Bombyx mori: one gene and its partners. Each later gene encodes a partner of the first gene's protein in a complex. Links are inferred from orthologs where the notes say so. Each region holds a gene or a part of one and is shown in the gene's direction. Other genes may lie near its edges.

Evidence for each region.
Region 2: GATOR complex protein NPRL3 (region 1) and GATOR2 complex protein MIOS share a complex: the UniProt entries of both Drosophila melanogaster proteins name them as parts of the GATOR complex. The link is inferred for Bombyx mori from reciprocal best matches to the Drosophila melanogaster genes Nprl3 and mio.
Region 3: GATOR complex protein NPRL3 (region 1) and sec13-like protein share a complex: the UniProt entries of both Drosophila melanogaster proteins name them as parts of the GATOR complex. The link is inferred for Bombyx mori from reciprocal best matches to the Drosophila melanogaster genes Nprl3 and Nup44A.
Region 4: GATOR complex protein NPRL3 (region 1) and protein SEC13 homolog share a complex: the UniProt entries of both Drosophila melanogaster proteins name them as parts of the GATOR complex. The link is inferred for Bombyx mori from reciprocal best matches to the Drosophila melanogaster genes Nprl3 and Sec13.

Annotation. Positions count from the first base shown.
Region 1 is NC_085124.1:9,497,895-9,505,567, reverse strand, and holds the end of GATOR complex protein NPRL3, read left to right. Parts: coding exon 1-327; intron 328-1,101; coding exon 1,102-1,295; intron 1,296-2,349; coding exon 2,350-2,504; 3' UTR 2,505-5,137; downstream 5,138-7,673. UniProt on the Drosophila melanogaster protein: An essential component of the GATOR subcomplex GATOR1 which functions as an inhibitor of the amino acid-sensing branch of the TORC1 signaling pathway.
Region 2 is NC_085114.1:15,837,800-15,845,523, reverse strand, and holds part of GATOR2 complex protein MIOS, read left to right. Parts: intron 1-128; coding exon 129-309; intron 310-4,531; coding exon 4,532-4,720; intron 4,721-5,154; coding exon 5,155-5,293; intron 5,294-5,366; coding exon 5,367-5,505; intron 5,506-6,840; coding exon 6,841-7,042; intron 7,043-7,724. UniProt on the Drosophila melanogaster protein: An essential component of the GATOR subcomplex GATOR2 which functions as an activator of the amino acid-sensing branch of the mTORC1 signaling pathway.
Region 3 is NC_085125.1:13,429,639-13,438,075, forward strand, and holds the start of sec13-like protein, read left to right. Parts: upstream 1-3,270; 5' UTR 3,271-3,317; coding exon 3,318-3,452; intron 3,453-3,632; coding exon 3,633-3,789; intron 3,790-4,601; coding exon 4,602-4,755; intron 4,756-5,179; coding exon 5,180-5,287; intron 5,288-5,608; coding exon 5,609-5,725; intron 5,726-6,625; coding exon 6,626-6,784; intron 6,785-8,050; coding exon 8,051-8,211; intron 8,212-8,437. Other genes in the region: uncharacterized protein LOC101745951, read left to right, coding at 1-779. UniProt on the Drosophila melanogaster protein: Probable component of the nuclear pore complex (NPC). Involved in maintaining the localization of another nucleoporin Mgtor to the nuclear envelope of early meiotic female germline cells.
Region 4 is NC_085131.1:3,991,527-3,999,759, reverse strand, and holds protein SEC13 homolog, read left to right. Parts: upstream 1-3,294; 5' UTR 3,295-4,111; coding exon 4,112-4,681; intron 4,682-5,070; coding exon 5,071-5,442; 3' UTR 5,443-5,508; downstream 5,509-8,233. Other genes in the region: small GTP binding protein RAB8, read left to right, coding at 1,431-1,532; uncharacterized protein LOC101741756, read right to left, coding at 2,177-2,539, 2,619-2,762, 2,842-3,015, 3,085-3,144, 3,223-3,294; DNA polymerase epsilon catalytic subunit 1, read right to left, coding at 5,947-6,114, 7,086-7,218, 8,138-8,233. UniProt on the Drosophila melanogaster protein: Functions as a component of the nuclear pore complex (NPC) and the COPII coat. At the endoplasmic reticulum, SEC13 is involved in the biogenesis of COPII-coated vesicles.

The DNA of each region.
Region 1 (7,673 bases):
CGGCAACTCTGTGGACAGCGGCATCTCTAACAACATAAACGGCACGGCCGGTAATAGTATAGAGGCGAACGGCAACGACGCTAGTCACGCTGAACTCTCCAATGGCGAAACCTTGACCTCGGATGATAAATCGAAAGGCCTACCTTCGAGGCTGTCGGATTTGTCGCTGAAGGACAACGACAACGCCGCCAACAACACGAGCAGCGACGAGGACCGGTTCGAGAGCGACCAGGACGTCTCGCCGCGCACCAAAACGAACGGCTTGACGAACGGATCGGAAAAGAAGAACGGGGTTTCTTTAAATTTGAAACTGCAAAGCGAAATGAGGTTAGCTAACTTTAATTATTAGATCTTAGATTAATAGCCGACTTTATTACCTACGTTTTTTTATATAGCTTAGATGGGTGGACGAACTCACAGCCCATCTGGTGTTAAGTGGTTACTGGATCCCATAGACATCTACGACGTAAATGCGCCACCCACCTTGAGATCTAAGTTCTAAGGTCTCAAGTATAGTTACAACGGCTGCTCCACCCTTCAAATCGAAACGCATTACTGCTTCATGGCAGAAATAGGCGAGGTGAAGGTACCTACCCGCGCGGACTCACAAGAGGTCCTACCACCCATAATTACGCACATTATAATTTTGCGGTTTCATTTTTATTACACGATGTTATTCCTTAACCGTGGAAGTCAACCGTGAACTTTTGTTGAGTACGTGTTTCATTACAAAAATTAGTATCCGCCTGAGATTCGAACACCGGTGCATCGCTCAACACGAATGCACCGGACGTCTTATCCTTTAGGCCACGACGACTTCATTGAATGGTTAACAAGGCCCTTGAGCGCAACGTAAGAGGCTTACATGCCAAACAATCTTATGGTTTTGTGTAGATTCTCTGTTGCTGGTTGTAGGGCGTCTTGTAAGCCCGCCTGACAGGTGGAACGAAGTTGTACTATAAAACTGAGACTTAAAACTTATGTCTCAAGTGACGGTATTTACTTTCTTGATCTTTATGCGTCACGGTAACCACTTAACACTAGATGAACTGTGAGCTTCCCGTACCGGCTCAGTATAGAAATAAGACCGATGTTTCCCAGTTTCCAGCCGCCGACGGTGTGGGGCGGGTCGGCCAGCTGTGACGTCACCGACGCGTGCCGAGCGCCCGCCGAGCCGGAGTCCACCGAGTCCCTACTGCACACGTTCACGGCAGAGGAGCGAACCGTATTGTCCCACATTCCCGCCTCGAACAACACTGACGACTTACTGCTGCTAGCCCAGCTACATAAGAAAGGTTATCATAACATTTCAGAAACCTTAGTGACGCTTAACGTTATATGGTTTATTTACTGGTGGTAGGAACACTTGTGAGTCCGCACGGGTAGGTACCACCACCCTGCCTATTTCTGCCGTGAAGCAGTAATGCGTTTTGGTTTGAAGGGCGGGGCAGCCGTTGTAACTATACTGAGACCTTAGAACTTATATCTCAAGGTGGGTGACGCATTTACATTGAAGATGGCTATGAGCTCCAGTAACCACTTAACACCAGGTGGGTTGTGAGCTCGTCCACCCATCAAAGCAATAAAAATAAAAAAAGTGCTTTCCTATTTTCGCTAATTCATTTTTTTTTCTGCCCATGTAAGCAAACATACGGCCCACCTGACGGTGAGTGGTTATCGTCGCCCATGGACGTCAGCCATTGCCTAGCGAGTACCGATAAAGTTGAAACCTCTAATAAAAGTTCCTGGCATAAAATAACCGACGTGCAACACAGATAGTGTGAAACAACTATAACAGCCGAATCAGTTTTATTTATTACATAGAATTTAAGAACTCACAGCCGAGCAGATGTCGAGACAATATAGGTCTAAATCTAAATTTGTATAGTATAACGGTTTCTCACCCTTCAAACCGGAACGCATTACTGCTTCGCTACTGAAACAGGCACAATGGGAGTACTGACCTATGTGGGAAGTACTTCCTACAATCTGTAATTACGCAAATAATCAAATGTAAACATTATCATATTATGATTTATTTCGTATAGTTATAATAAAATTCCACGACGCCCTTCATGCGGCCAATGATCGGAGGCGCTGGCGGGACATCACAAGGAGTAAAGTCATGTCGAATTATAATGGTCACGACTCTCAGCAGTGAGGAAACGACGCGAGGAGGAGGATAATAAAATAAAATAGATTAGAATATCAAATTTAGGATGCCCAATTAAAAAAAAATCATAAACGAGCTTTATCTACCTTCATTTGGAATGTAATAGTGTTCATTGCATCTGCTATTTAATATTTTATTACATTTTTAAATTTATTAGTATAATATTTTGTTTTCAGGCTATTTCCGCGGCGAGCAGCATTTAGAAGAGATCATGTTTATGGAGAACGTCAGTCGTTCACAGCTAATGCAGCTTCTAGACAAATTCAAAGATGTACTCATCACCTTTGAAACAGAAGATCCCGCTGTGGCTATGCTCTATCCATATCAATAGGCGTACGCCGAAGCAAGCAAAGTGATTGTATTCTAAAGCCTTTGAGCATAATTGCGAAAATGTAAATTTTTATTTGTAATCGTATAGCTCAATATGATAAAATGACAAGTCGAAAACATTGAGCTGCCAGTCTCTACTTCACGGTCATACGTTATCTTCAGTCTTGTAATCAGTGACGTATACAATATATAATTAGACCTTACATATTGCCCTCTGTAGATGATGCCAGTGCATGTGGGAATATAAAATAATGGATATACCCATTAAACTTTGATTAAACCTAATATGTCAATCATGCTCAATTTACAACAAGAAACAGTACAAAGTAATGCTTCTACCGAGTTCCAAGAATGATGAAAGACTAATAAATGATTATGTAGTTTACACACTGTCGATACTGAGTTGACTGATTACTTTTCATGATGAACAACAAAGTCATTTGTGTAGAGCCACTAGTCACGTCAGCTGTTCCACGTTGATGATACCATGACATAAACATTCCGTGAACTCCCAATAAGTTGTACCATGGTTCGACTCGATCGATCGAATCTAAGACGTACGAAGACATAGACAATGAGAAGAAACAGTACGAACGCTTGTGTTTTTAATTTTTACTGGTCGTCGATTATTTATGAATTTAATGCCCCAAAGGTACTAAAGCGATCATAGCCTCTGATCTCCAAAAGAAATTTCGTTTATAATCACCATGCTAAAAATGTTATTTATTCAAAGAGTTCTTTCTCGTTTCTCGATCTTTAAAATCTATTTTTTTATTGATGCAATGTAAAGCAATCCAACATACTTTAGTTGCAATCCCCTGTTAGTTGCCTTCGAAGACAATAAGATTCCAGTTTGTTTTTTTTTTAAAATGTTCTACGTGCAAAAAAATATATCTGTCAGTCTGTCCATTAGAACACATTGAGGGCTGCTACAGTACTGACCAAGGTGAACTATGTTTGTAGGCCGGTTTCTCACCGTTTAGTAAAATTCTATTTATGTAAAGTGAAGTTGTTGACGAATATATATACCTAGGACAGGCAGTCCGATTAGGTAGGTCCAACTTTGAGAGAGAGGTCAGTAGACGGATCCAACTCGGCTGGGCAGCGTTCGGTAAACTGCACAACGTCTTCTCGTCCAAAATACCTCAGTGCCTTAAGACAAAGGTGTACAACCAATGTGTGTTACCAGTGATGACTTACGGCTCGGAGACGTGGTGCTTCACTAGGGATCTTTTTAGAAGGCTCAAAGTCGCGCAGCGAGCTATGGAGAGGGCTATGCTCGGCATTTCTCTACGTGATCAAATCCGAAATGAGGAGATCCGTAGAAGAACGAAGGTTGCTGACATAGCCCGTAGAATTAGTGAACTGAAGTGGCAATGGGCCGGCCACATAGCACGAAGAGAGGACGGTCGATGGGGCAGAAAGATCCTGGAGTGGCGACCACGTACTGGCAAGCGCAGTGTGGGACGGCCACCTACTAGATGGACCGACGACCTAGTAAAAAGCGCTGGGTCTCGTTGGATGCAGGTGGCAATGGGCCGGTCGCACTGGAAATCTATTGGAGAGGCCTATGTTCAGCAGTGGACGGCGATAGGCTGAAATGATGATGATGATGAAAGTGAAATGTTCTGTTTGTTCTTCATAAAATATTGATATGCTGGCCATAAATTCTTATTTTTTTTTTTAAATAAAATTATATCATCCTAATAATGCGTCAATCAAAACTCATCCTAATCTTATTTATTGTGTTTTATGAACTTTAGCTCAATAGAATTTACGTTAAATTATACATATATTTTTTATTTATTAAAATTGTGCAATCTCGTTCGAGAACTCGGGTTGACAACACCATGTTTAAAAAAAGTGGATGTCTAGTGACACCAACTTAGGTGTTTTTGAAAAACCGAGGCTGTACCGTTTTATGTTTTAGTCTTAGTTTCCAGTTCCTAATAAAATGTAAATTATTTATACTGTATTAAAGATATATTTCAAAACAGTAAATGCCTACGAGTGAAATTTTCGTTTCGAATACATTATCCAACTCAATGATGATTATTATTTGTACTTACCCACTGTACTCTATAAAAACCTTACTTTACCAATCTTATCTTTGTAAGATGAAAATTTTGAATCATTCAGAAGTAAAATCTCATTATTCATAATTAAATAAAAATTTGAAAATCAGTTACAGCAAACTCTTCTGTGTTAGAAGCGTTTTGTGATTGGTAGATTGAAACGTGTAAATTAACTGATGTTAAAAATTGAGGTTTCGTTCGAGTCACTTTCAAGTCTTTAACTACTCAACCGATCGTAATGACATTTTGTACGTATTCCCTACCCCCGATAAAAGAATATTTGTTATCCAGAAAATGTATTGTTCCCTAACGGTACATTTGTCTTCAAACGCGAGTATAGTTGTGTATAATAGCCTGTATATAATATGCCAGATACGTTTTAATAGGCACCAGTCAAGTTGAATTTCTGTACCATAACCTACATTACTACTTTCTGTACCATAACTTACATTAACCTTATATCGAGCTACTCCATTATCCCATCTAAGTTATTCAGCTAATCTAAAAAATGTTCTGAAACAAATATATTTATAAAATAAACAATTACATACTTTGTAAATTTGTTTTTTTTTGTTAGTCCATATTTCATTTCTGAAAGTAAAAGTGGATCACTTGAATCAATCAGCACAGATCGCGTTATATTCAGGGGGAATGCAAGTTTTTTCCCAATCGCTGATAGTATAAGAGGCTATTCCGACTACTCACAGACCGGTAGGTGAGCTCACAGGCTCAACCTGAGGTAAGTTTTGCAAAATGTCACTTTAGAAAGGACAATTTACTGCACTTGTAGATTACTGGGTAGTCTGGCGAGGAGGAATGTGGTGCTATGGCGGTCTCATACAGAGTGAGCTCTGAAGACTATGGAGATACCTAGGATGACTCCCTGATACTCGACCTTCCTACCCTAAACGAAAATTGGCCAAAAAAAGTAATCAGAGTGAAGGCTTCATATGTTCCTGCGTCTGTAAAAGGAGATCTTTCGCTTTGAAAGAACAGCTGTGCTTTTCACAGAGGATCAAAGTGATACGTATTTTGGCGAAAGCACTACCAATCTCGTTCGTTGGTAACAGATTTAATATTTTCTTCGGTTTTCACCAGTCGTGGAAATAATTAAAACTATGATCTTATCTCGCGTTTTTATTTTCATCTTAATGTTCGAACAGTTTTCGTGGTTACGGACGATTGTTGTAAAGTTTAATTTTACTTACCACTACTACATAAACTATGTAACAAGTTTACTTAATTATACAACCTGTTTAACTTTTGGTTTTCGTGCACAGCATAAATGTAACCAATACTACTATCTAAAATAACCAAGTGCTTTTTGACGGTTAAGCCTCTTTATATTTTTATTTTTTTGTTAATTTCATATTACTTCTGGTTCACACGAGCAATTGGTGGCTTATTGATTATTTACCACCCATAAAACTGCTCTAGTGAGGAAATATGAACAGGTCGGACGTCGAGGTCTAAAAACACGATTGAGTTCATTGAGCTTGAAAGTTTCCATTATTTCATTTCATATAGCACCTACAGTTTTGTACTAACTAACCTCATTAAATTCCATTCCATTCCCCATTTCGTACAAAAGGCTTTTGTTAAAAAAAAAAAATTGTTTGCGCTATAAATTGCCTTTGCTTACCCAATGGACGAATCAAACAACTAAAATGACAAACGTCAAATACGTAAACGTAACTGTCAAAATCTGTGCAATTTTACGAGTCGACGAAATTTGTTATTGTTGATATTACGTACATAATACATATTGGCTTATTGTTTTCCTGAGAAAATAGAAAAGTAAACTTTCTATGAAATATGAAAAATTTTCCAGTGTTTGTATTTCCTGTTTCCTTAGAATTTTACCTTAACGCCAGACACACTCATAAACAGTTGTTAACTGTTTACAATCCTTATGATTTCTCTGTAAATTTCAAAGGTGAGAAATTCGTATATTTTTTGTGCGGATTCTTTGAATAGCTTTTTATCGTAACGTGGTTCTTTTTAATTTCAGTATTATGTACGTCACCAAACAAGTTTACAGTCATCGACCCAGAGGGTGTGATCGCTCCACAAAGCTGTATTGATATTGTCGTACGTTACACACAACCATCTGTTTCACATTGCGACACAATAGAAAAATTCAGAATAACTATGTTTGACAGAAATACTCAGCAGGTAATTAGTAACAAAATTATTCATCCCAATATTAATGTTATTTTATCTAAAGTATTTTTTATTAATATAAATACATAAACAGCCCTTTGGGCGGTATAAAAATCATAGAATAAGAATTCTACTACCAGTAGGTAGTATAATACAGAGGAAATACAAAATTAAAGTCTCAATAACTAATTTATGAATGGCTGTTTTACTGTTTATAACATATCACATCAAATTTTACAGTAGAAATTAATAATTGGTTGTACATACATTTGAACAGTAAGTTGGAGCTTGTGTATTGACCAGCAACAAATATTTGGTCTTCAGCTGATTGAGCCTTCTCTTTTATAGCCTGTACTTTTGACTTTTCTGTGATAATTTGTATAGGTAGGCTGTTGCATAGCTTATTAAACTAGGTTACTGGGGAATTCAAATTTTGATTTCAAGGACAGACACGTAACATTTTTACAATCTGCGTGACATATAAGTTTCCTTCAGCATTCAGTACCACAATTGAAAGACATTTATAAATTTACAAACTGCACATTTAAGCATCCAATATATCATTTATAAAAACCAGGGAAGTTCACTTAAATTTTTACTTTAGTTGGAGATTATATTATTTCGTATTGTTGGGTTGGAATTCTGGCTATATCAATTAACCACAATTTATTATAAAATTTGAAATTTAATACAAGGACATAACTAGACTATAGAAACCATATCAGTTGTTACTATTATTTCTAAATTGAATATACAATTAACTTATAACCATTTTCCAACAAATAAATAGGTATTTTATATACTCTGTTCAGGCTCTGGGAAAAAGAGACATTCCAACCAAACTTATTGAAGGTGAACCATCAAGTACGAACCAAGAAAGTTTTGGTGAAAACTTTCATCCAATAGCATCCAGAGCTGCACCAATTAGACCT
Region 2 (7,724 bases), on another chromosome or scaffold:
AGGACACACATCACAAGCGTAATGTTGAGACTTTGTGTCTTAAAGTGGATGGCCATTGTCGTCTCCGTGTTAGGGACAGGAAATCTGTAGCTCGTCTGCATGAGTAAATGTTCTGATGGCTATCCCAGGAGTGCAGAGCGAACTCGTGCACTGCAGCTGTGCGGGTGGGGGTGGGGGTGGGAGAACGCGGACGCGGGGGTGGAGCGCGCCGAGGCCGAGGGCACCCCGTGTCGCGCCGCCGCACTCGCCGCCTTCCACCTCCGGCTTAGGACTGCTCTGGACGTGCTGGCCCGGGCGCACGAGCCGCAGGTGCGTACACATCACGGACCGACATTACACTGCTATGTACAAAGACACATATAATTTCGGCCCTTTAGGTTAATTTTAATTTTTGTGGTCAGTAATTTAATACTTTAGCCCAAATCAAGTATTCAATATTTTTAAGTATTCGTCGAGTTAGGAACAGTTATTTAGCGAGGCAAGACGTGTTGTTTGTGAAGAGTGTGTCGATCTTTTCTCAGATATTGAGAACATTTGGTCGCCTTTAATTTATTATTTTTCTGACAATGAAGAATTGTAACCTGTGCAAGATCCAATTCAGTGATGGTGTTCAATGCGGTACGTGCAAGAAGCATTTTGACTTCGGATGCGCTAATATTACAGAAGCTGGATATAGAAAACTGGGCCCCGAAAGAAGGGCGGCATGGAAGTGTTCTGCTTGCAGAAACCCTTCGCAAGCGGTTGCTTCACAGGCCAGCCCAGTCTCTCCAGTTCAGGGCTTAGTGACGCTAGAAATGATCCACGCTGAATTATGCGGCGTAAATTGACTTAGCTTGTGTCTTATTATTACTTTTTGTATTCTGTATTAGTTTCTATAGTAAATTTTTGTTGCAAATTCACGTGTCACTGAACGTAGGTTATGTACACTTATTAATTATAATCGTGGTCCAAATGTTTACAACACATGTTGTTATTCACTGGCCGGCGCCTCGCCTTTTGCCGCTATTGTTCTCATATCTCGTTGCTTGTCTGTTTGAGGTTGTCATTACTGACATATATTTGAATTGCTTTCACGAATGTATTGCATATCTGCTGCTTATTAACGCTGATCTAGAGTGTCAGGGGTTTTTTGGTACTTGTTATATTCTTCGACTATTTTTATACTACCTACAATTTAATTTAATTTACTATTTTCACTTTTACTATTTAATTTTAATGTCTAGAAATTACCACAGCGTAATATTAATTTTACTTACTATGTTATTAACTATTTTCTTACAATGGACAATGAATCAGTCCTGAATAGTATTCATATCTACTACCAAAATGTTCGTGGACTTCGGACGAAAGTTCTTGAGTTTAGCCGTAACCTGCTATTGTGTTCTTATGATGTGATTATTTTAACTGAGACTTGGTTGACTGATGGCATCTTAGATAGCGAATTATTTAATGAACATTATACAGTTTGGCGTAGGGATAGGAACAGTGACCTTACGGGTCAATCTCGGGGTGGCGGTGTTTTGATTGCGACTCGTAAAGATTTAAAAGTTAGTTTGCAGCCGTCATTTAACTCATCGGTTGAAGATTTGTGGGTTACACTCATCGTTAAGTTGAAACGTGAAACTATTAAACTGCATATATGTGTATTATACTTATGCAAACAGGGTTCTAAGTTATCTTTCTCTGAACAATTAACTAATTATCTTACGAAACTCACCAACATTGTTTTGGATAATTCACTTGATAAATTCCTACTTGTTGGTGATTTTAATCTGAGCGGCATTACGTGGCTGCCGTCTAATCTTGGTTACTTTACACCTTATAATGCTCGTAGTAGTGATGAATTATTGCTTGTGGATGAAATGCATGTTCACGACTTTGCTCAGTACAATGGGATAACTAATAAGGATGATAGGATTCTGGATCTAGTATTTTCAAATGAATCATTGGTTGTGAGTAAGTGTGTTGATCCAATGGTCCCGATTGATCCGTATCATGAGGCTCTTTGTATTACGTTCAAATGTATTGAACTTGTAACTCTAAGAACTGCACCGCGCACTAACTATCGATTCAATAAAGGTGATTATTTGTCAATTAATAGAGAGCTTAATAATATTGACTGGTGTGTTGAGTTTCAGTCAAGATCTTTGGAGGGCTGTACTGATTATTTTTATGAGACAGTTAACGACCTCAAAGAGAGATATGTACCATCTCGCGTAACTGGCTCTGATCATTACCCAGTCTGGTATTCAGCTGCTCTTAAAAAAGCTATCAAAGAAAAATATAAATATAAACGTAAATATTCAAACTATGGAAATAAATCTGATCTAAACTCTTTTAATGTGCTTCGGGACAGGGTTAGAGTACTGGAAACTAATTGTTACAATGATTATATTGACTCTCTTGAAATTTCAATAGGAAATGATCCTAAAAAGTTCTGGTCCTACGTTAAATCAAAGTCTAAGTGTAATTCAATGCCAGGATCTGTCTCGTATAACAATGTGATCTCAAGTTCGGCTGAGGGAGTCTGCAGTGCATTTTCTAACTATTTCCAATCTACTTTTCTTGACTGTGATATCTCTGTTAATCTGACACCTAGAATAGCCGATGAGCATTTCACCGCAACTTCTCACTTAAACAACATCTACTTGGACCAAGCCGAAATACATAAGTTAATTCTTAATCTTGATCTATCTAAATCAGCTGGTCCAGACCAGTTGCCTGCCAGATTTATCGTTGGTTGCTCTGATGGCATAGTTTTGCCAATATACCTTCTTTTTAAGCGTTCTTTACATGAGTGCACTGTTCCAGCAATATGGAAATCGGCCTTTATTAGCCCAGTACATAAGAAAGGCTCTAAGTTCGAGGTTACCAATTACAGACCAATTTCCAAACTTTGTATTATTTCAAAAATATTTGAACGTGTTATTTATACTCAAGTATACGCGGCATTGCAAAATGTATTTAATTCAACTCAGCATGGATTTCTAAAAAATAAATCGACTGTTTCTAATTTAGTTATCTTAAATGATTATCTTACTGATGCCATGCATAGTGGTAAACAGGTTGATGTAATTTATACAGATTATAGCAAGGCGTTTGACAAAATTAACCATTCTATTCTGATTTCAAAGCTACAGAACGTAGGAATCTGTGGCGACTTATTACGATGGTTTATATCATATCTTGAGAAGAGATCGCAAGCAGTCGTGATCAACAATTATATTTCTGCTTGGGTACCTATTCCCAGTGGCGTACCTCAGGGTTCGTTACTGGGGCCCTTGCTTTTTATTATTTTCATTAACGACATCACTAAGTGCTTTCAATTCTCACGCCTTCTCTGCTTCGCTGATGACATGAAAATTTTTATGAAGGTTGCTTCCATCAATGATGCCAAGTTAATGCAATCTGATTTAGATCGTCTTTGTCATTATTGTTTACTAAACAAACTTGATCTTAATCCAACTAAATGTCATGTTGTTACTTACACTCGAAAAATCAACCAAATAGCCTACAAGTATAAACTAAATGAACATGAACTAATTAAACTTAATAGTACACGTGACTTAGGTATTGTTCATGACAGCAAACTCACATTCGATGAACACGTTAACTCTATAGTGACTAAAGCCTCCAAAATGCTTGGATTTGTTATGCGTAACTCTCAACATTTTCGTAAAGCTAAAACTATTAAAATACTATACTGTACTTTTGTTCGCAGTCACTTAGAATACGCTTCACAAGTTTGGAATCCTCAATATAATATCTATATAGAACGAATTGAAAGAATTCAGCGTAAATTTATAAAGTACCTTTGTTTTAAATTAAATATTGCCTATAACTCTAATAATTATGATAACCTTTGTAAAAAACATCATCTACTTCCTCTTTACTTGCGGCGTGGGGTTTCCGACATTATATATTATTTAAAGATCGTTAAAGGTTTGGTGGATTGCCCGGAGCTCTTATCCAAAGTTGGCTTCAATGCACAGAGAATATCTTTAAGGCATCGAAATCTAATTTCTTTGCCACTAGCTTCCACTAACTATAGGCAAAACTCATTCTTTTTACGTGTTGGTGGTGACCTCAACAGACTTGGCAGGTTCTTAGATATTGACCCATTTTATTCCTCTATCACAGGACTTAGACGTCAGCTTAGTGCCCGATTTTTCGTGGGCGATGAGGGGGCAGAGGGTGCGGGGCCATGTGCCGGTGACGTGTAGCACAACAGTTTTTAATTAATTTGTGACATTTATACATAAGTGTACATTTAAATTAGTCTGGTGTTTTCCTCCATTCCTTATGTTGTTTCTTGCTTGCTGAATGTTTTTAATTTTTTTTTGTTTCTATGCTTTTGTTTCTCTAGTGTTTTTAATTTGTTTATATTGGTGAGAACCTTTAATTGGCTTTTTGTTTCTATTATTTGTTATATTATTATACTTTGTTAGTTGGCTGTTGGTTCTCCTTGTATTAAATAAATAAATAAATAAAGTATTTCCTCGTGATATGTGACTACGGTTGTTTGGAACAGCTCCGCGTGGTGGGGCTGGCGCTGGCGGGGCTGAGCGAGGAGCGGCTGTGGCGTGAGGCGCTGGCGGCCGGCGCCTCCGCCCTGCCCGACGCCTACCTGCGTGGGCTGCTGCACTTCCTGGCGGCCTCCGCCCCCGCGCCGCCCGCCCTGCACGCGCCCTCCGCGCCGCCCGACCTGTCCGCCGTGCTCGTCAGTATATTGTGACGTAACGCGACCCGCTCCCCCAACCCGCTTGCCCTTGATGCGTCCCTTAAACGTCACTTGAAGTATCACGTCTATCGCAGTGAGAGAATTCAATTTAAAGTAACAACTAACGCTTGTGGGGAGCGTACATTAGGTGCCACTATCCCGCCGGTCACATGTTCAGGTTTGGAGGACGGGGCAGCCGTTGTACCATATCATATAGACTCCGAGTTCAAGTCTCAAGGGGGCTCGCATCCTCGTTGCGAACTCTGGGCTTTGGTAATCACTTATCATTAGTGATTCATTAATGTAATAAACAAATCTGGCAACAATATAAGAGTTATGACAACACAATTAAAATAACCATTTCTTAACATTTTCGTAACATAATACGGATTAAAAACAATCGAGTACCATCTGCCCCGCGGCGCCGCCCGCAGAACGAGACGGAGATGCGGCTGGAGGACCGCGTGGCCTTCGCCTGCATGTTCCTGTCGGACGGCAAGCTGCACGAGTACGTGCGACACACGGCCGACGCGCTCGTGCAGCGCGGGGACCTGTCCGGCGTGCTGCTCACCGGTGAGGGACGGGCTGCCCACCCCGGCGATGTGCTCGGTACACGTGTGTTACACTGCGCGGTGTTGTGGTCCAGGGGCCGGCGCGGAGGGCGCGGCGCTGCTGCAGCACTGGCTGGACGCGAGCGGCGACGTGCAGAGTGCCGCCCTGCTGGCCGCGCGCTGCTTCACGCCGGAGCTGCTGGCCCTGCCGCACGTGCAGCACTGGCTCGACAGGTACCGCGCCCTGCCCCACACCGACCCACATCAACTATCATAGTATCATAGATTTTTACTAATTGATTGAACATTTCTACGGCTTGACCCCACCGCTAGCAAAAGAGGCATTAAATTGTGATTTGTATATACCTAATTCAATACGTAGACGCGCCGTGCGTTCATGGTAGTGTCAAATTATTTTATTACATTCTTGTATAACAGTGCACTTGTAGTGCGCGCGGAAACGCTGGTCATCTCCTGAGGTATGTAGCGGGGTGAGACGGGGGAGAGCGCGATTGACAAGACGCACACGATATTATATTAAGTGCAGATAAATCTCAGAATAACATATTAGAATTAATGTAATGGGTGCCTAATTCTAATATTGTATTTTTCTATTTCCTGGTTAAACAAAAAATGCATATTCAAAAGTGTTTATTATATTTTATTACGAAACAAAACAATTTTATAAGCAAATGAACATTTCTTAAAAAGAAAAAAAAAAAACTATCACCATTATAGTACATTATAAAAAAATAATTATTTATTTATCTATTTTGATTTTTTTACCAACAAAAATTTATGAATTTTCCATCGTAATACCCCCATGTCGAAATCATCAATGTAGATTCTCTTTTTTATTTTTTTAGGTTTTCATGGAGAAGTAAATTTTGATTTTTCCGATGTTTGCCGATTCGAATTTACTTCAGCTACAATTCTAATTACGGTCTGAGAAAAAAAATTGTGCACATTGTAAATTACATTTTACACTGATCGTGTTATTGGTGGACCCATCTTAGGATATTTTATCTCGTGTATGTTTGGAACAAACTGGCAAGAACAACTGTATCGTACAACCGCCGCGGTGGTCGACGGCAGACTGAGTTAGCTTGACGTTTGTCTACCTCGCCCGCCCTGCCGCTCGCATACAGCAGGCGGTGACTAGCCCTTCCGCGCACACTATAGTTAATGGAAAATTTGGTTTTCATTTATTGAACAGTTTTACAGTTTGACCCCACCGTTAGCAACAGGGACATTAAAGTGGTACCCGCAAAATATGTGAATGTGTGGAATCATTTATGCTGTCGACCTTGCGTCGACGTCTCCAGAAGACTGCATATACGGGCGCCGGTGACCACTTAACATCAGATGGGCTCACAAAAAAGAGTTTATAATTTTCTCAGTCACAAGCGATTATTGGAGCAGACGGGTAGGACAGGCTGCCGCACCGCGTGCTCGGTGTCGTGCGCGGGCTGTCGAGGACTATAGACTCGTTGAGACAGGACGGCACTCCGGCAGCAGCAGTGCAGTCTTGTGAAGAGAGTAATGCGAAGTGTTGTGTGTAACGGGCAGCTACCGCGGGCTGCTGGACGGCTGGCGGCTGTGGTGGGCTCGCTGCGCGCTGGACACGTGGGTGTGCGGGGGCAGCGCCGCGGCCGCCGTGCGCCACGTGTGCGTGGCCTGCACCTACTGCGGCAAGTCCGTGGCGGCGGCCGCGGGGGCCCGGCCTCGCCCGCCGCTCGCGCGCCTTCCGCCGCCCGCCGCCAAGATGAAGGTAAATACAACATTCCCCCGCGACCTACATACTTCATATAGTGATGAAATGCTACGTTACCGGTACCTCCGCCCCCCCCCCCCCCTGCCGCGAAGTAGTAATACGTTCCGATTCGAAGAGTGGGGTAGCAGTTCTACTATAGAACTGAACTTCACAACTCATATCTCAAGCTGGGTGGCGGCATCTTTGTTATTGATGTCTATGGGTTCAGAAACACTCGTGAGCAATGAGAAAAAAAAACGTTAACTTCTTATATTAATTAGTTATAAACATTTTAAATCAATTATTGTCAATCCCAAATCAAAAAACCCAGATCGAACTTATAACTATTGTTAACGAGGCTTCTTGAAATTACACGCGGCAGCAAATTGTTTGTTATGGCCGCGCGTGTTTTTTTCTTAAATCACGGAGGCTTCTTGGTGATGGACGCGCCAACAAAATTGTATGAAGTGGGCGCGCGTGATCGCACGGCCGGTCGGCGGCGGAATGAAATGGCGCGCGTCCCGCGGCACGTGGAGGGGGGGGGGGGCGGCAGCGCCTCGTTCGTTAACAACTATCGTTTAAGGCTTCGTCAAACAGAACACGTTCTTAACGCGGCGTTTTAACGTCGCGCTCTTTTCATGTCACACAAATTGACTAGACGAGCCCAACGCTCCTTGACGCAACATAACGCCAAATTATA
Region 3 (8,437 bases), on another chromosome or scaffold:
TTCCATTCAAAATACTTAGAGGTCACGAAGATGAAGTTAGAAAGGTTACTTTCCAACCTTTGCGAAAGATGGCCTTCTCAGCTGAAATCAGCCTGCGAGAAGATACTGAATGTCTTTCGCCAACTAAAGTACACTCCCCGGTCCGTACAAGAACTTCGGATATGTTTTTCATAAGCGACACACCCCCAAAAAATAATCTCGAAATATCTAATCAAGGTGATGCCAAAGCAGATTCATTTCTTGTCATGATGGGACTGGATAAATCGAACAATGATTTTGATGATGAAGGCAGTAAGTCTTTGGACCATGAAAGGAAAAGTGATAGGCACGAAGCAAGGTATCGCCAGTTGGACGCTGAAAAGAACATTAGTAAGATATCTACTCCTTTAACTAGCAGAACGATGGATAACTTAGTGTTTCCATCCCCTTTACCTTCCAACGGACTTGCCGAAGAAGCTCGGATATCAAATACAAATCTACCAATCAAACATTCTAGTTCTACTCCTTGCGTTGACGTAATGGAGAATAAATCCTTAGATGAATTAAAAGATTTTATTAAACTTACACTGACCGACGTCGCAGATGACAATAGAAATTATTTCCTGCACATCATGATGGCTCTGACAAAACAAAAATTATATTTAGAGAAACAACTGTCCAATATGAATGAGCAGATTCAGAATCTAACCTACAACCAAGACGTTTTAGTTGAGACAAACAGAAAACTGGCTTTAGAAATTGATCAATTAAAAAAGAGAACTAGCTTTAATAAAACTTAGAAAGTTCCAGGTGTACTTATAAAGTTTTGGAGCTCTAATTTATTTTAAGCAAAAGTACATCAAACTTCATAATACAATATAGGAAGTTTGAAGAACTTTAGCTAAACTTACACACACTTATTATTATTTACAATTATTTATATTACACAATTGTTATTTAACAGGTTCATACTACGGTTTTCACATTTCACGAGTTGTCGATATTTCGGCGTGTTGCAAGCGTCACGGTCAGGCATAGACTGAAGATTGCGGGTAGGATGTTAGGAGCAAAACAAAAAGTAAAGTAGACATTACTTATGAAAATACCAAAAAAAAAGTAAACATTTTTTTGCCAAATTAATAGTAGGATTAACATTGAAGTTATTTCTGCTGACTGCGAATTCATTTATAAACGCTTGTAGCATCATTTTAGTAATTTTTATGTCTCCTTTTATGCCATTGAGCTGGGTAAGGGATCTGATGGTATTAAGCGTTGATCGTCGTCCATTGCACTATGAGAAAGTCGTCTAGCGGCTGTGCAGTCTTTTAGGCGACCGGAAATAGGATGGCAATACCAATGCGTCCCCACAATACATCAGTATCTACCGGTATAGGCGCGTCACTCAATACGAATAAGTTTTGTCCCTAAAAGAACTGATTTTCAGAACCATTCGAATTCATTTTAAGTTTGTTAGGACCTATTAACAGACGTTACACTGTAGCGTCTCTAAGCGATGCCTGCCACTTATTATCAGCTGAGCTGCAATCTCAATTGCCATATTTTATAAAAAATTAATGAAATGTTGTTGACTTTTCATAATCCTAGGTAGAATATTTTTAAAACTGTAAAATAATAATTGAAAGACATTTTGTTAATTTTAATATACTTATACACATATAAATAATAGTTGTGCCAAATTTAATACCGTTCGTAAAATTACGGACTTAAAAATTTCCAATATTTAAATTATTTTTTGTCTCTTTCGTTGTGTTTGTAATGTAAATTAAATAAAGTAAATTTGTAATAAATATTCCGGCATCAATACCTAATAGTATAGGGTCCTTAGGAACGGATTCTTTGTAAGTAATTTAAAAATAATAAACATAACATATTTTCAACTCCTCTTTTTATTTAACAAATGTTAAATATTATCATTGAACACTTAAAGTGTGTAGTAAATTAAAAAAAAATACGTAATTGTCTATTTGACAAATTGGTCAAGTTATTGGAGATCTGTTTAATGAAAATTATCACACTCATAATTAGTTAATCATATACAAATTTTGCATCTATCTAAATTGTTCTGTTTTCGTGTTTATTTTGACAATAATGTTAATAATTGATGTATTTTTGTGTATGAATTTGTTATATTTATAAATAATATTAGCTTCCTTGTTAATCTATGTAATTAAATTAGCTAGTACACTACTAATTTTATTAAATGCCTATAATTTTTAATTGTTTTTTTTTTCAAAGTATATCATGAGCCTTTTCACACATCTATAGATCTTAGTGTAGGAATGGTAGGTAATAAATACGACATCGATGTTGGGAGAAAAACATGGTAAGGCGGGTACTAACGTCTAACGAAAGACCACTGTTATTTACAGCATTGGTCTTCCGTCGTGTGGGGTACGAACTGCTTGAATTGCTTCCCTTTTATAAATTATATATTATAAATTATTATTATCTATGCTGTTTTCATTCATGGACTGAGGCTCTTTAACAAGTTTTCCCAAGTTACCACAAGTTTCTCCCATTTAATCTACATGGGTGCCACTCCGGGAAGGACCGCTTAATTGCTGGGGATGAGATTAAATCCTTTATCGATATCCTGTAAAACAATTGTGGTGACCTAAAGAATAAGATGGACAGACAGACACAAATGAACGAGTTTTTGGCGGAAACGCCAGGACCGAAGTTGTGTGTATTGTTTTTTATTTAATTTAGTGTTTCTTCAGGCTTAAAGGCTTCGTCAAACAGAAAGCGTAATTAGTGCGCGTCAGAGCGCTACGCTATGACGCCGAGATGTGTTGTACTACTATACTATGAGCGCTATAGCGCTGGCGCTCTGTTTGACGGTATAATACCGTAGTAGTACAATACATCTCGGCGTCATAGCGCGGCGTTAGTTTAGCGCTCTGACGCGCGCTAAGTACGCGTTCTGTTTGACGAAGGCTTAAACGTGTAGTAATGGTGCTTTAATTACTGTTTTGCATCCGTAAAAGCGCATGTGGGAAAATGAAACAGTCGCTTGACATGGCTTTTCGGACTCTTCCAAAAAGTCCACTAAAGTCTCTTTAAATAACTGTCATTTTACTGTGACTTTATTTCATCCCATCTCACCTCATTTTATTTAATTTCATCCATATAATCTTTCCCTTTACGTTGTTTTTCATTTAACAGAATATAAAAAAAAATTGTCTGTATGAAGTGATACTTTCGCCTTTCATATTGAAAAATGGAATTATTACTGTCATTAATGTCATTTTCTGTTAATTTGAGGTTATAAATTGGGATTAATGTAACGGAAAAAACACTGTTAGTTCATAATAACAATGAGTGAAAACATAGCTACGAACCTTTTCGAGGCCCAAACGATACATGCCGATCACAAAGACCTTATTCACGATGTCGCGTACGACTTCTACGGGGAGAGAATGGCCACTTGTTCCAGTGATCAATACGTAAAGGTACATTCTTTATATTATTTTTAATTAGAGTACGTACCTTTGTTTTACGTACGTATAGTTGTAAAACGTGGTAAAATGAAATTTTTTTAGTCTTCTGGTAATTCACGAAAGCTTTGTTGCTTCGTAGTAATAAGCAATCGTGAAAGTTAATAATTTGGAATATGTTATTTTTTATCTTAGATATGGGACACAGACGGGCATGGAGGCTGGCGGATGACAGCGAGCTGGAAGGCTCATCACGGCTCTGTTTGGAAAGTTACATGGGCCCACCCAGAGTTTGGACAGGTCATTGCGACTTGCTCCTTTGATAGAACAGCTGCTATTTGGGAGGAAGTGGGTATGTGGAACCATTTGTTCATACCATTTAGCATTAAATTTATTACTTTTTCTAGATGAGTTGTTTTATAATATATTTTATGTATAATTAGCTGACCTGGCAGACTTCGTAGTGCCTCAATCAATAAATAAACTAAACTTTTGTATAAAATAAACCTAAAACAAAAAAAGGAATCCTTCCGGCGGGGGACATATTAAAGGAAAACAAAATTGTTATTTTTATTTAATTCTGAGCATTTTTATATTTAGCTACCTTTTAAACTTTCTCTGGACCTCTACAAATAATACAATACCAAAATTAGCCAAATCGGTCCAACCATTCTCGAGTTTTAGCGAGACGAACGAACAGCAATTCATTTTTATATATATAGATTATAGTATATTCTTGTAAGTTTTAGCCACAATTTACCCATTTTTTGCAGAATGTAAGGTGTAGGGTGCCTGCTTTTCATAGTTTTGCATCATGGTACATTCAATGTACTTCTGAAAGCTTTCATTAGTTTTTTGTGTTTGGGTAGACAGACTGAGATCTTAGATCCCATATCACTTAACATGAGGTGGGCTGTGAGCTCGTCCACCCACCTAAGCAATAAAAAAATTACATTCTAGGAAACCTAGCTTGGAAGTTGCAAAATAATATAAATTTTAACAGACATAAAGTGTGAAAAACTGTGACCAAAGAATGGCCTATTTAGTCATCACTAGCACCATCACTAGTCATGCAGAGATATACACAAGCCAAGTGCAGAATAGTAGGAGTATATAGTTCAAAATGATTGGTTCAAATAAATATGTATTCAATATTGTATTCAGGTGACACCACAGCAACAGGCTCTGAAAAGAGTTTACGTACATGGCTGAAGCGGTCAAACCTCGTTGATTCAAGAACTTCAGTAACAGATGTTAAATTTGGACCTAAACATTTAGGTCTACTACTAGTTACATGCTCAGCTGATGGCATTATAAGGTATTATGTTGATCCATAACACTACACATCAGTAAAACCTCCTGGTACTACTTATTTCAAGCATAAACTGATAGCTACTACCACCCTGCCTATTTCTGCAATGAAACAGTCTCGTTTTCTAATTTGTAGGCTGTTTTACTAGATGGTTAAGAATTTGGGTCTAAATGTGAGTGATGATTTATGTAACAATATTGGCAGCTACTAATGTAATCTAAGCTGTAAGCATTACCTGGTTTTCTACATTTTCAACAATTAAATTCAGCTAATTACCATTTTTCATTTGAATTAATTCTGTGTCGTTCTAGATAAATAGTTGACCTCAGAATCCACATAAGGCTATGTTGTTACTGGTATAGCAATACTGCTCTTCATCTTCTCACTTTAATCTGTTTGAAGCGAAAACAACATTCTGTTTGATTTACAGAATATATGAGGCTCCGGATGTGATGAATTTGGCACAATGGACCCTCCAGCACGAGATACCGACGAAAGTTTCAATTAGTTGTTTATCATGGAACCCTTCATTGTCTAGGTAGGTATGTATTTTTATTATAATTGGATGTAGCAAATAGCCCATCTGATCGTAACTGGATATAGTCACTTATGGACAACAAGTAGTCAACAACAACAGTCAACAACAACAACAACAATAATAACGTGTAGTCAACAAAGAGCTCTTTTAAGTCCCCAGATACTCATAAAACAGCAGGGAATTTAGTTTAGAGGTTGAAAGTGAGAGTAAGAGAGAGTTTTTGGGAGCAAATTGTGTTTTTACTGTGTAAAATAAAACTGTTCTGTTGGCTTGTATTAGTGACTTTTTTATAATATCTTCAATATTGCATTTTTTTTCTAGGGTAGGAAACCCACCAATGTTGGCAGTAGGCAGCGATGAACCTAACACAACAAATGCCTTAGCATCAGTACCATCTGATAAGAGCACAGCTTGTAATGGAAAAGTTTTTATTTATGAGTAAGTATTAATTTATATGTTGTAATCCATGTATTAAATATACACTTTTACTTTTATATGTAAATATCTAAAATACTTATTACTTGAAATAATGATAATTCTAGACAGTGACTTGGATGTGCCCCTGCCATTGACAATGTCTACTGTTAGCAGTGATTTAAAACTATCAGTTTTTGTATTGTATTTGTAGTGAATGTAAACATTTGGCTTCATTCATTTACTTGATAGATTTGCAAATTTTTATAGTTGTCTATAGCCCAGGGAAGATTTTTGTCATAGTTTGGAGAGTATACGACAAAAGGAAGATATTCAACCGAGCGGGTGACAGACAGTCCGAATGTTGATGTTCAGAACTTGTATATATGCAAGTTCCATTCCCGATCCTGCGGACAGAATGGAAAGCAGTCGACGTCGCCCCAAACACGTCATTTCGGATCCTCCCGATCCACTAACGGTGCTTTTAGGTACCTCAAGCACCGGTCATTGTTCTCGTCGAACCCGTCGCTTGCGACGAAGGGCTCGACGAGTAAATTAACCCTCAGACACAGCCCACTGAGTTTCTCGCCGGATCTTCTCAGTGGGTCGCGTTTCCGATCCGGTGGTAGATTCTGCGAAGCACGGCTCTTGCTAGGGTTCGTGTTAGCAACGTCATCAGGTTTCAGCCCCGTGAGCTCACCTACTAGTTAAGGCGAAGCTGATATAGCCTCTCAAGGCTATCAGATTAGGTGGGAAAAAATAAATAAATATGCAGGCTTATCTTGAAAATGTCGTAAGCCAGATTCAGGCATCTAGCAAATATCTTGTGTTCTGTGATGGCTACCCGCCACAATGGTACCGCTGTGTACGTAATAAAAACTCTTATGAAGCTAAACAAAAAAAATTAATTAAATTTGTGTTCAGATACAGTGAAACGTCTCGTCGTTGGACGCGAACGGACTGTCTGTCATCCGTCCAGGAGCCGGTCAACGACCTCGCCTTCGCTCCGAACCTCGGCCGCTCGTTCCATCTCCTCGCCGTAGCCGCCAAGGACCTGAGAATCATTAAAATCGAACCACTTTCGTGAGTACTTTATTATCTTGTCATTGACATGACTACAGATGATGCAAAGTGTAAAATTTCCGTTAAAATTCACAGAAGGGCCGGTAAGCATATCGACGCTTGAAAGGCAAACGTGACTAAGCGACAATAACTGCTTTGTACATAAATGATAGGCAATAACCGTATTCAATGCGCAAAAAATATATATTACTAGGTCTATTAAAATAATTTCAATCCTACAGCTAGATTCGTTAAAATAGATTTTTTTTCAGGTATTTCAACTTTAAATTAGTCTACTGTAAAGTTCACGCATTGTCGCTTAGTCATGTTTGCCTTTCAAGCGTCGATATGATGATAAGGTACCGTTTGAAAAATATGGTTCATTTCTGCGGCACTATAAACAGAACACCAGCCCGATGGTCAGATCTGGTTCAGAAAGTGGTTGGTGGTAGTGAGAAAGAGAGAGAGAGAAAGAGAGAGAGAGAAAGAGAGAGAGAGAAAGAGAGAGAGAGAAAGAGAGAGAGAGAAAGAGAGAGAGAGAAAGAGAGAGAGAGAAAGAGAGAGAGAGAAAGAGAGAGAGAGAAAGAGAGAGAGAAAGAGAGAGCGAGAAAGAGAGAGAGAGAGAAAGAGAGAGAGAGAAAGAGAGAGAGAGAAAGAGAGAGAGAGAAAGAGAGAGAAAGAGAGAGAGAGAATACACTTTATTGCACACCAAAACACAATTTACATTAAAAAACGGTCAAAAAGCAGATAGATTTGTAACAATAGGCTAAAATCGATCTCTTCGAGACAATCGTTTAACTTAGAGAAATTCTGGAAAATATAAAAATATAGCAGGTATGTTAGTCTATAACCATGCGGTCCATGTCATCTACGACCAAACACTATGGAGGAAAGTAACATGTGGTCACGATCTTTAGCGGTGAGGGAACGATGAAGACAGAATAAATATTGCATTACTTTTGAGCACTTTTTTTATTGCATAGATAGGTGGACGAGCTCACAGCCCACCTGGGGTTAAGTAGTTACCGGAGCCCATAGACATCTACAACGTAAATGCGCCACCCACCTTGAGATATAAGTTCTAAGGTCTCAAGTATAGTTACAGCGGCTGCCCCACACTTCAAACCGAAACGCATTACTGCTTCACGACAGAAATAGGCGGAGTGGTGGTACCTACCCGTGCGGACTCACAAGAGGTCCTACCACCAGTAAAACTTCATTACGTGTATTCTATTTAGTTTGCATTCGTTGGAATATAACATTTAAATTATTATTGTGACGTCACAGTGAATCGTCTATCTCCGCGAACGGTTTGGGCGTGCGGTTCAAGAGTGAAGTAATGGCGGCCTTCGACGAGCACTACTCGTGCGTGTGGAGGGTGTCGTGGAACCCCACCGGGACTCTGCTGGCCTCGTCGGGGGACGACAGCTGCGTCAGACTATGGAATAGTAAGGAATGATAATAACCATGTCAATTGTTCAGTATAATTAAATTTTACTCGATTTCATATCTATTCCAGATGTATAGTTTCCTAAGATATATTCTTCGATCATCGAATGTAGAGTTGTAAACGAATGGTATGATATCAAGTAGTTTTTAAGGATGGGACAACCATTGCAATACAATTGAGAGTTAGACCTCCTTGGGTCAATAAGTGAAATGTTCACTTTGAAC
Region 4 (8,233 bases), on another chromosome or scaffold:
GGTCGAATTCAGTAGTTGTTCAAAAATAATCAAAAATAAAATTAATCATGATTACCGAAACCAAAAATTAACTGAACATAAACTGTACCCGTCATAAAAAATTATCACGTAACGCGATAACGTTATTTCATATAGAAACCAACCTTATACTTGTGCATCGAGTATTGCACGTAGGCGTTTTTAAAAGATTTCGTAAATATGAATGAATGGAGAGACATTTCTTGCTGGTGGTCCACAGAGAACGTTCTGAGACCGAACGCGTCGGAACAATTTTTGAAGAAGTCGTGCATTCCAATTCGTACGATAGCCGCTATTAAAATCAAATGAGACTTCGACCTGATACGTCATGATAGGCGAGCAGCAGTCACGAGTTGTGTTCAAGTCCAGAGTGCATAGTGCGAGTTTTTAACGTTCTCGATAACGTAAAAGTTAACTCAAATTTGTATGCAGTTAGAACAGCGCCTTTGGTGGCAAGCGTTCCACACGAGCACACAGCAGAGCCGTGAGTTCCACTGCCTAAACGCGCCTATAGAGAATAAAGCTGAAATTAAACAACACACAACTAATATATTATATATGTTACGGTAAATGTACACTCTTGGGAAATGTACACTTACTGGCAATGGCGATTTTGTATTTTGTATGCCACGCTCACATATTTTACCAAAACGACATGGTCATTGTGAATTCAATGTACATTTCCCTTCTTTGAAATTGTAAATGTTAGTTGAATGTACATTACCCAAACGAGGAGGCAATTGTGCACATTTACCGTTAAATGTGTACATTTGCCGCAATATGTACTTTTACACCGGTCACTCACATGCGCACGAATACGCAAACCCGCAAGTGTAGGACGACATTTAATTTTGCAAATGATTATGCAAAGTTTTCGCTGCATTCGTGGTTTTCCAAGCTGTGTCGGTTTTTTAACAGACATCAAAGCGCGCGAACCGCGAACCTTCGCGTAGTCTCACACACATTCGTTTGCCCAGTTGCGTCGACGATTGCGGAGGTAACGGAAGTATCGCCATTTTCATAGTTCGTGACGTCTACTGTGTAGCGTATCTTCATCAAAAGAAATCCCATAAAAACAGCATGGCTGTTAATGATGTCTGGGAAAAAATTCAAAACTCTTTTTCTCTTCAATGTTCTATTGACGAATTAAAAAGGAGGATAAATTCGTGAGATATTCGTGAACAAGTGTAAGAGGATGCGCAAACGGGTTCGCAAATTGAGTACCGAACCCATTTGCACAGCCGCTAAGTTTGCGAATGAATGTTTGACGGCCCTTCACATGCGCGCAAACATTCGTACTATGTACGAATATTTGCCCGCATGTGAGTGGCCGGCATTACCGTAACATATAGATCACGATTGTTCGTTAATGTTATTAGTGGAAATATGCTAAATTGTTGTTCTGATAATAGGAAGCGAGTAATCCGTCGGGCGGTAGGAGTGGCGTCCACAAGCCGACGCTGAACGACGCTCGCAAGCCGGTGACGTGGCTGTCGCGTTGCAGCGTGCTTTGACCCCGTCTGCACACTACGACCCCCGCCCCAGCCCTATTCTAACATTGTGGTACTTTGAACTGCCCACCTTGACTATATTTTTCTACCTACTTTACTTGACGGTGCGTTGACCTCCTGCGGGGATGAGACTTGCTTTTGTATTTTTATATCCAAGACTACGAATACATACTTAATTTCGTCTTTGAAAATAAATAAACAGTATTGTGCATTAAATTATCTGTAATCGGTTTGTAATTTGATTTTGTATTTAAAAACTTAAAATTTCACGGTGTTATGTTCATATCAATTTTAATGGTAAAAGGATATTATTTCAATAGATTATTTTAGCTGTACTTTATCTTTTGCTACTTTTTAAATTAAGATTATATATTATATATATATATTTTAATGTAATATAAAATGTACACTATTTAATTTGAATAAAGAGCTTTTTTTACATAAATCTATTTTGTTTCAATAAAATTCCAATTTAAGTAACGAATTAGTAATTTTTATTTACCAACATTAAATGTATACAAAGATAATTTATTTCACTATATAAATGGAAGGAACATCACTAGTTTTGAAGAGAAACCGAATAATTATAATTGTAATAACTCATTTGGTTCTTTTCTGAACTAGACTTTATACGAATGTTTTTCATTTCATGATGTTTGTACTTGTTTAGGTTTTGACCTGAATGGAATTAATATTAAATTCTTTGTTCCTATTAAAGCACTTTTGGTGGTAAATTTTAACAGTTGCAGTAACTTCTTGGCTGTCAATACAAATAACTCCAAAGTAAGCTGTGAACCTTTTCTCCAATAAACGATATATGCTGGAATTGGTGGGAGATTCTCAGACCAAATGCCGTTTCTGAGGCTTTTTGCTTGTGCTTCTGCTGATAATAGAGCAGGGGCAATTTGTGACTCAATGGTATTCTTTTTTAATTCTTTAGGAAATGATGCTTTTGCAAATCCAAGCTCCACCAATTTTTTACCAATATCCAATGTTTGAACATCTTTACTCTGAAATGGAAAACATTTTTGAAGAGTAATTTTTAATAATTTAAGGTATTTTGTTGAATTTGTTTAAATTGAAATATACCTTAGGCTGAGGTAAATGCAATAATACAGTAGAAACTAGATCATCATTATCTCTTCCGATTGGCTTTAATGTCACTTGCTGGCCCCTAGCAACACATTCCAGCCAATTGACTGCATTCCCACTAACTACTTCAATTCCCCACAGCTAAAACAAAACAAAAAGAAAATATTTTTATTACTTTGTAGGTAAATTTTCGTACAAGTTATATTTTTATCACATTTACCTTAACTGGTAGTGGAGGTTTACTGGAATGCCATAGCGGTAAATATATTGGGGCTTTGTGATTGACCAGAACACGAACTGGTGAATGTTGCACTCCAGCATATAATCCTTTCAAAGGTTCATGATTTCTGATGAAATGATCTGGAACTTTACTGGCTTTCGAAAACTTGCTAACCTATCGAAGTAATTTTATTATTTATAGTTATGTAATTATTAATATAGGGTTTTTTAAACAAATACTTACAGGGCGAATCTTATGAACAGATATGGCGAGACCAGCGGTGGCTAGAGCATATACTGCTATCTGTAAACAACAATCAGATGATAGTGCTTCGTTTACAAAGTTATTATTATCAACATCAACTTGTAATTATCTACATACGTTAACCCCGCGATAATCTTGTTGTAATAAATATTGCATGTTGTAAAATATTCCTCCTTCTTTTTGAGACATTTTGATGTCTACAGATACGAAATTCTCATAATTTCTTAAACTTTCGTAAATTAGCTCATCAATATTTTCAATCCAATTCTGAATTTAGATGAATGAGAGAAAAAACAGCTTCAGACTTGTCAGAATTTTTGTTTGATTCTACTAGAGCTCTTTATTATCTTTGGTTAACTACCAAATGTAACCTGACACAGTGTTTAATCTTTGGTTATTACTTACATAAAGCATAGATTTTTTAATTTTTTTGAGGCCTAGTCTTGATATGTCAATAAAAGTATCTTCATACAGTTTAGGTTTAGCTATAAATATAAATGCTTAAAACTTTTGGGAGATACTTCATAAGTAACGCGCAAAAAGTAATAAAGAAATAAATAACTTAACCAAAGATTGTGCTAACCTAAGGTTAACAAATAATACCAAAGAGGTAATTTATGACCTCTAACACACGAGCGGCATTCTGGCACTAAAATATTTGTGCTTTTTTGTAGACTGTGTTGGAGCTATGTGATCAATAATCTCGAATCATCAAGAAAATCTCTAGCTTCCATAACAAAATTGATAAAAAGAATAATTCAGTTGTAGCGTCGCGTATGTTGAAGCTGCAATTTAATTCTGCCACTTTTTATTATTATATTGTTAAACTTACCTAATAAGTTTAGAGGTGACGCACTGCGACTGTCTTTGCAATGTCGAAATAGCTCGTGTGGATGGATACAAAATATTTTACTGGTAGCACTGTTGAAATTCCACGTCAACTGATTTGACAGTTGATTGCCCATTTTCCGTTGTGTATTGTGTAGGTTAATAAAAATATATAATAATGATCACTGTTTTGAATACTATTGATACCGGCCATGAAGATATGATACACGACGCCGAACTGGATTATTACGGACTAAAACTAGCTACATGTTCTTCGGATAATTCAGTGAAAATATACGACATTAAGAATGGTACACAAACATTGGCTGCTGATTTGAAGGGTCATTTTGGCCCCGTGTGGCAGGTAGCTTGGGCTCATCCCAAGTATGGGAACCTATTAGCGTCATGCTCTTATGACAGGAAAGTTATCATATGGAAAGAGTCTGGAGAGTGGACTAAACTATACGAATACACTGGACACGAAAGCTCTGTGAACTCTGTTGCGTGGGCGCCGGCTGAGTACGGCTTAATCCTCGCTTGTTGTAGTTCAGATGGCTCAATCTCTATCATACAATATTCACAAGATACTGGTAATTGGGACGTAAAAAAGATAACGGGTGCACATGCCATTGGTGTTAATTCTATTAGTTGGTGCCCAGCTTTATCTGCAGATTTGAACTTAGATCCGCTTACCAATAAAGATGCTCCAAAGAGATTAGTTACTGGAGGGTGTGATAATTTAATCAAGGTATGTTACAAGTTGTGTTTAATTGTTTACTGACTCTGTATTACAGTAGTTAGCACTCCTAACTGTTGCGCCACAGAGAATCCTGATTTGGGGCCAGATGAATGTGTGTGATTTATTCCGGGTTATTTATTTATAAGGCAAAAAAAGAAGGCAGCAATTTTTCTTTTCACAATATCATATATTGCATGCATTAGTTAATTTTAAATGAAAATAGATATATTTCAACAATAATTAGTTGAATTTTTTTAATATATCTACCTAAAATTACCTTGTCCTTTATTATCGATATGTTCTTAATAAACCCTGTATTTAATGATTACTATTTAATGACATCATAATGCTTCTTAATTATAATTTTTTTAGTTAGTTATTCCGGTTGTTGTTTTCAGATTTGGAGAGAGCAAGGTGATCAATGGGTTGAAGAGAACAGATTAGAGTTGCACATTGATTGGGTCAGAGATGTAGCGTGGGCACCCTCTCTGGGATTACAACGTTCCATGATTGCCAGCTGCTCCCAAGACAAGAGGGTTGTCATATGGTCTAGTGATGATAATGTATCTTGGACACCAACAATATTAAACACATTTGATGATGTAGTATGGAGTGTTAGCTGGTCTCTCACTGGCAACATCTTGGCTGTATCAGGAGGAGATAACAAAGTCAGCCTTTGGCGTGAGAGCACTGATGGCCAGTGGTTATGTATTAGTGAAGTTGCCAAAGGTTTGGGCCAAACACCCAATGATGAAAGAAGCACACTTTGAATTTGCTTTTAATTTCATTTGTTAATTTTGTAATCTGCTAATAGTAATATAAAATATGTACATTAACACTGATCTTTTATAAACTTCATCAAAACCCAGATTTAATCTATATATTCAATTTGATAATCCAATAATTGGGTTGTGACATATCTAACAGGTTTTAAATAAATTGCTATGATTATTATTACTGTATGTATTGAACATGGGCTGAGGAGATGAAGTCACTATTGTCAATGTACACAATAATTTTCAATTTGATAGTATATTTTATAGAATTTAAAGAGATATTTTTAGTTTAAAGAGAAAAGTTCACATGTATACTTGACATGGAAATAAAAATTAGAGAAATGTACTTTTCACCTTGGAAAGTATGTTGCCATATGTCGCCAGAATAACTAGAATAGGTAAAAATATTTGGGTTCTTGTCTTAATTGTTTGTGACAATAGAAATAAAACAAAGGGACATAATATATATAAAAAAAATTATACTTAAAATACAAACTATCACATGTTTTTAAGATTAAAGTCAATTTGTTCTAACAATAATGGCATCTGATAATATTCGGCTATTGTCTTAAAAGTCATTAGTTGGTCTTTGATCTCTGTTACGGGAACCATCAGCGAAAAATCTCCAGCACAATCACAGACCACAGACAAATTCTCACGTTTTACCTGGAAGAAATATACATAGATTCAAATTCCGCAAGTAACCAAACATTTTTTCCTAGTCTTTATATATGTATATGCAGTCTGCTCACAATCCCATAAGGTATACATTCCTTTATTTCTTCCTTTAAAGAACCACATCAACTTCTTACTCGGAGTGCTAAAGAATGTTATTTCTTACTAAAGGAGGTTTAATAGAAAGCTGTAGTTGACTTTTACACACCATCATTAAAAATTAATTATTCTATGAAAATAGTATTATTGTAGTAAAATATTAAAAATAATGAGCTTTTGAGATGGGCTTCCTCATTTAGTCATTTTGTGATGTGGCTATGGGGTATTTCGATTTAGCTTAGTCACAGAATAATTGAAATTTTTTTTTTCTTTTTTTTTTTTTTTTTCCCTACCTAAGCTGAGAGCCTTGAGAGGCTATATCAGCGTAACCCTAACTTTTGTAGGTGAGCTCACGGGGCTCAAACCTGATGACGTTGCTAACACGAACCCTAGCAAGAGCCGTGCTTCGCAGAATCTACCACCGGATCGGAAACGCGACCCACTGAGAAGATCCGGCGAGAAACTCAGTGGGCTGTGTCTGAGAGTTAATTTACTCGTCGAGCCCTTCGTCGCAAGCGACGGGTTCGACGAGAACGGTGACCGGTGCTTGAAGTACCTAGAAGCACCGTTAGTGGATCGGGAGGATCCGAGATGACGTGTTTTAGGCGACGTCGACGGCTTTCCATTCTGTCCGCAGGATCGGGAATGTAGTTACCGGCGGCCACGATGAGAGGGTTCTCGTGTCGTGCCGCTTTATCGAAGTGGGATTGAAATAATTAACACTCCATTGCAGTGTTTCCTATAGTGCTAACATACTTATTAGGCGCTGTTACGTCTGGGCAGCCTTAAAACTTACATCGATAATGGTGGGTGCCGGGTGTGCATACTCGAACAATGAATGTGTAATATTTAATTATTAATACCTGGTGACATCGGCTACATATAAGATCTTGCAGCGTATACGCCATCGTACGTTTGTTCATCGTCTCGATTAGTCGCCATTCTATTTCCTGATTATCATATGCTGTTCCACAAGTTGGACATAAACACGCCGGACTGAAAATAAACATAACACAATGTTCTACACGTGCTTTAGAAATACTGAAATTTCAGCTCTCTCATAATCTACAAAACACATGTTTGGCCAGATGATTGGTCACTTAATTATTCTCAAAAACATTGTTTACTATTTAATCTAATATTCATTAATAAAAATAATAAAAATGGTACGCGTGCAACTTGGTGCACGTGAAAGAAGTGAAACTTCTTTTGTGTTGTGTGGTATTGTGATTTTCTTCATTTTTCATTCTTAAATCTTTCTCTTGTAATAGTGATAGTGTAATAGGAACTTTCGCCTTTGCCGTTTCCCTCTCTCCACCGAGTCGAGTGGTTCACCAGACGCTATCTATTTTCTCAATCTCGCTGTTCCTAAAATCTGTATCTTTCTAGCCGTAAATCTGTAGAGAGTTAAATTTTACTTTTAACGTACCTAAAGAAGTTTCACTTCAATAAATTAGTGTTCTCGGCTAAAATTCGATTCGATTCAAATCGATTTAAATTCATCATTCGCTGAATTTTTTTTATTGCCCTTGTAGGCAGACTGGCATACGAGCATAAACTCTTTCGAATTATTACTAAAACAGGTTATTTGAATTATCACTGAATCGTGGTTGGTGCGGGGTTGGGTCGGTTACCGTTCCGTCGACTATCGCCTCGACGACCCGTCGGTCGGGCGTCCTCGGGGTAGCGTCGCGTATCTGGTTGTAGTGTTGACCGCGGGAACCCTCCTACTCTGACCGGGTTCTGACCCCGGACGGAGATCGGACGTCGGGTGTAAGAGTGCAGGGGAGTCGTTTAGTGCGGTAGGGCCCTAAAATTCCTTGGGCCCGCGGTCTGCTCCCAACACTTTGCAGATCGTCAAGTCCCACATACCATCGTAGGAGGTTCGGCCCAGGCCCGAAAAAAAAAAGGTTACCGTTCCGTGTCGTCTCGCGCGTCCCTGCACAGGTCGAGGTCGCGGCAGTGGTTGCACACGCGGCACGTGAGCTCGGTCAGCACGCACGCGGCGCAC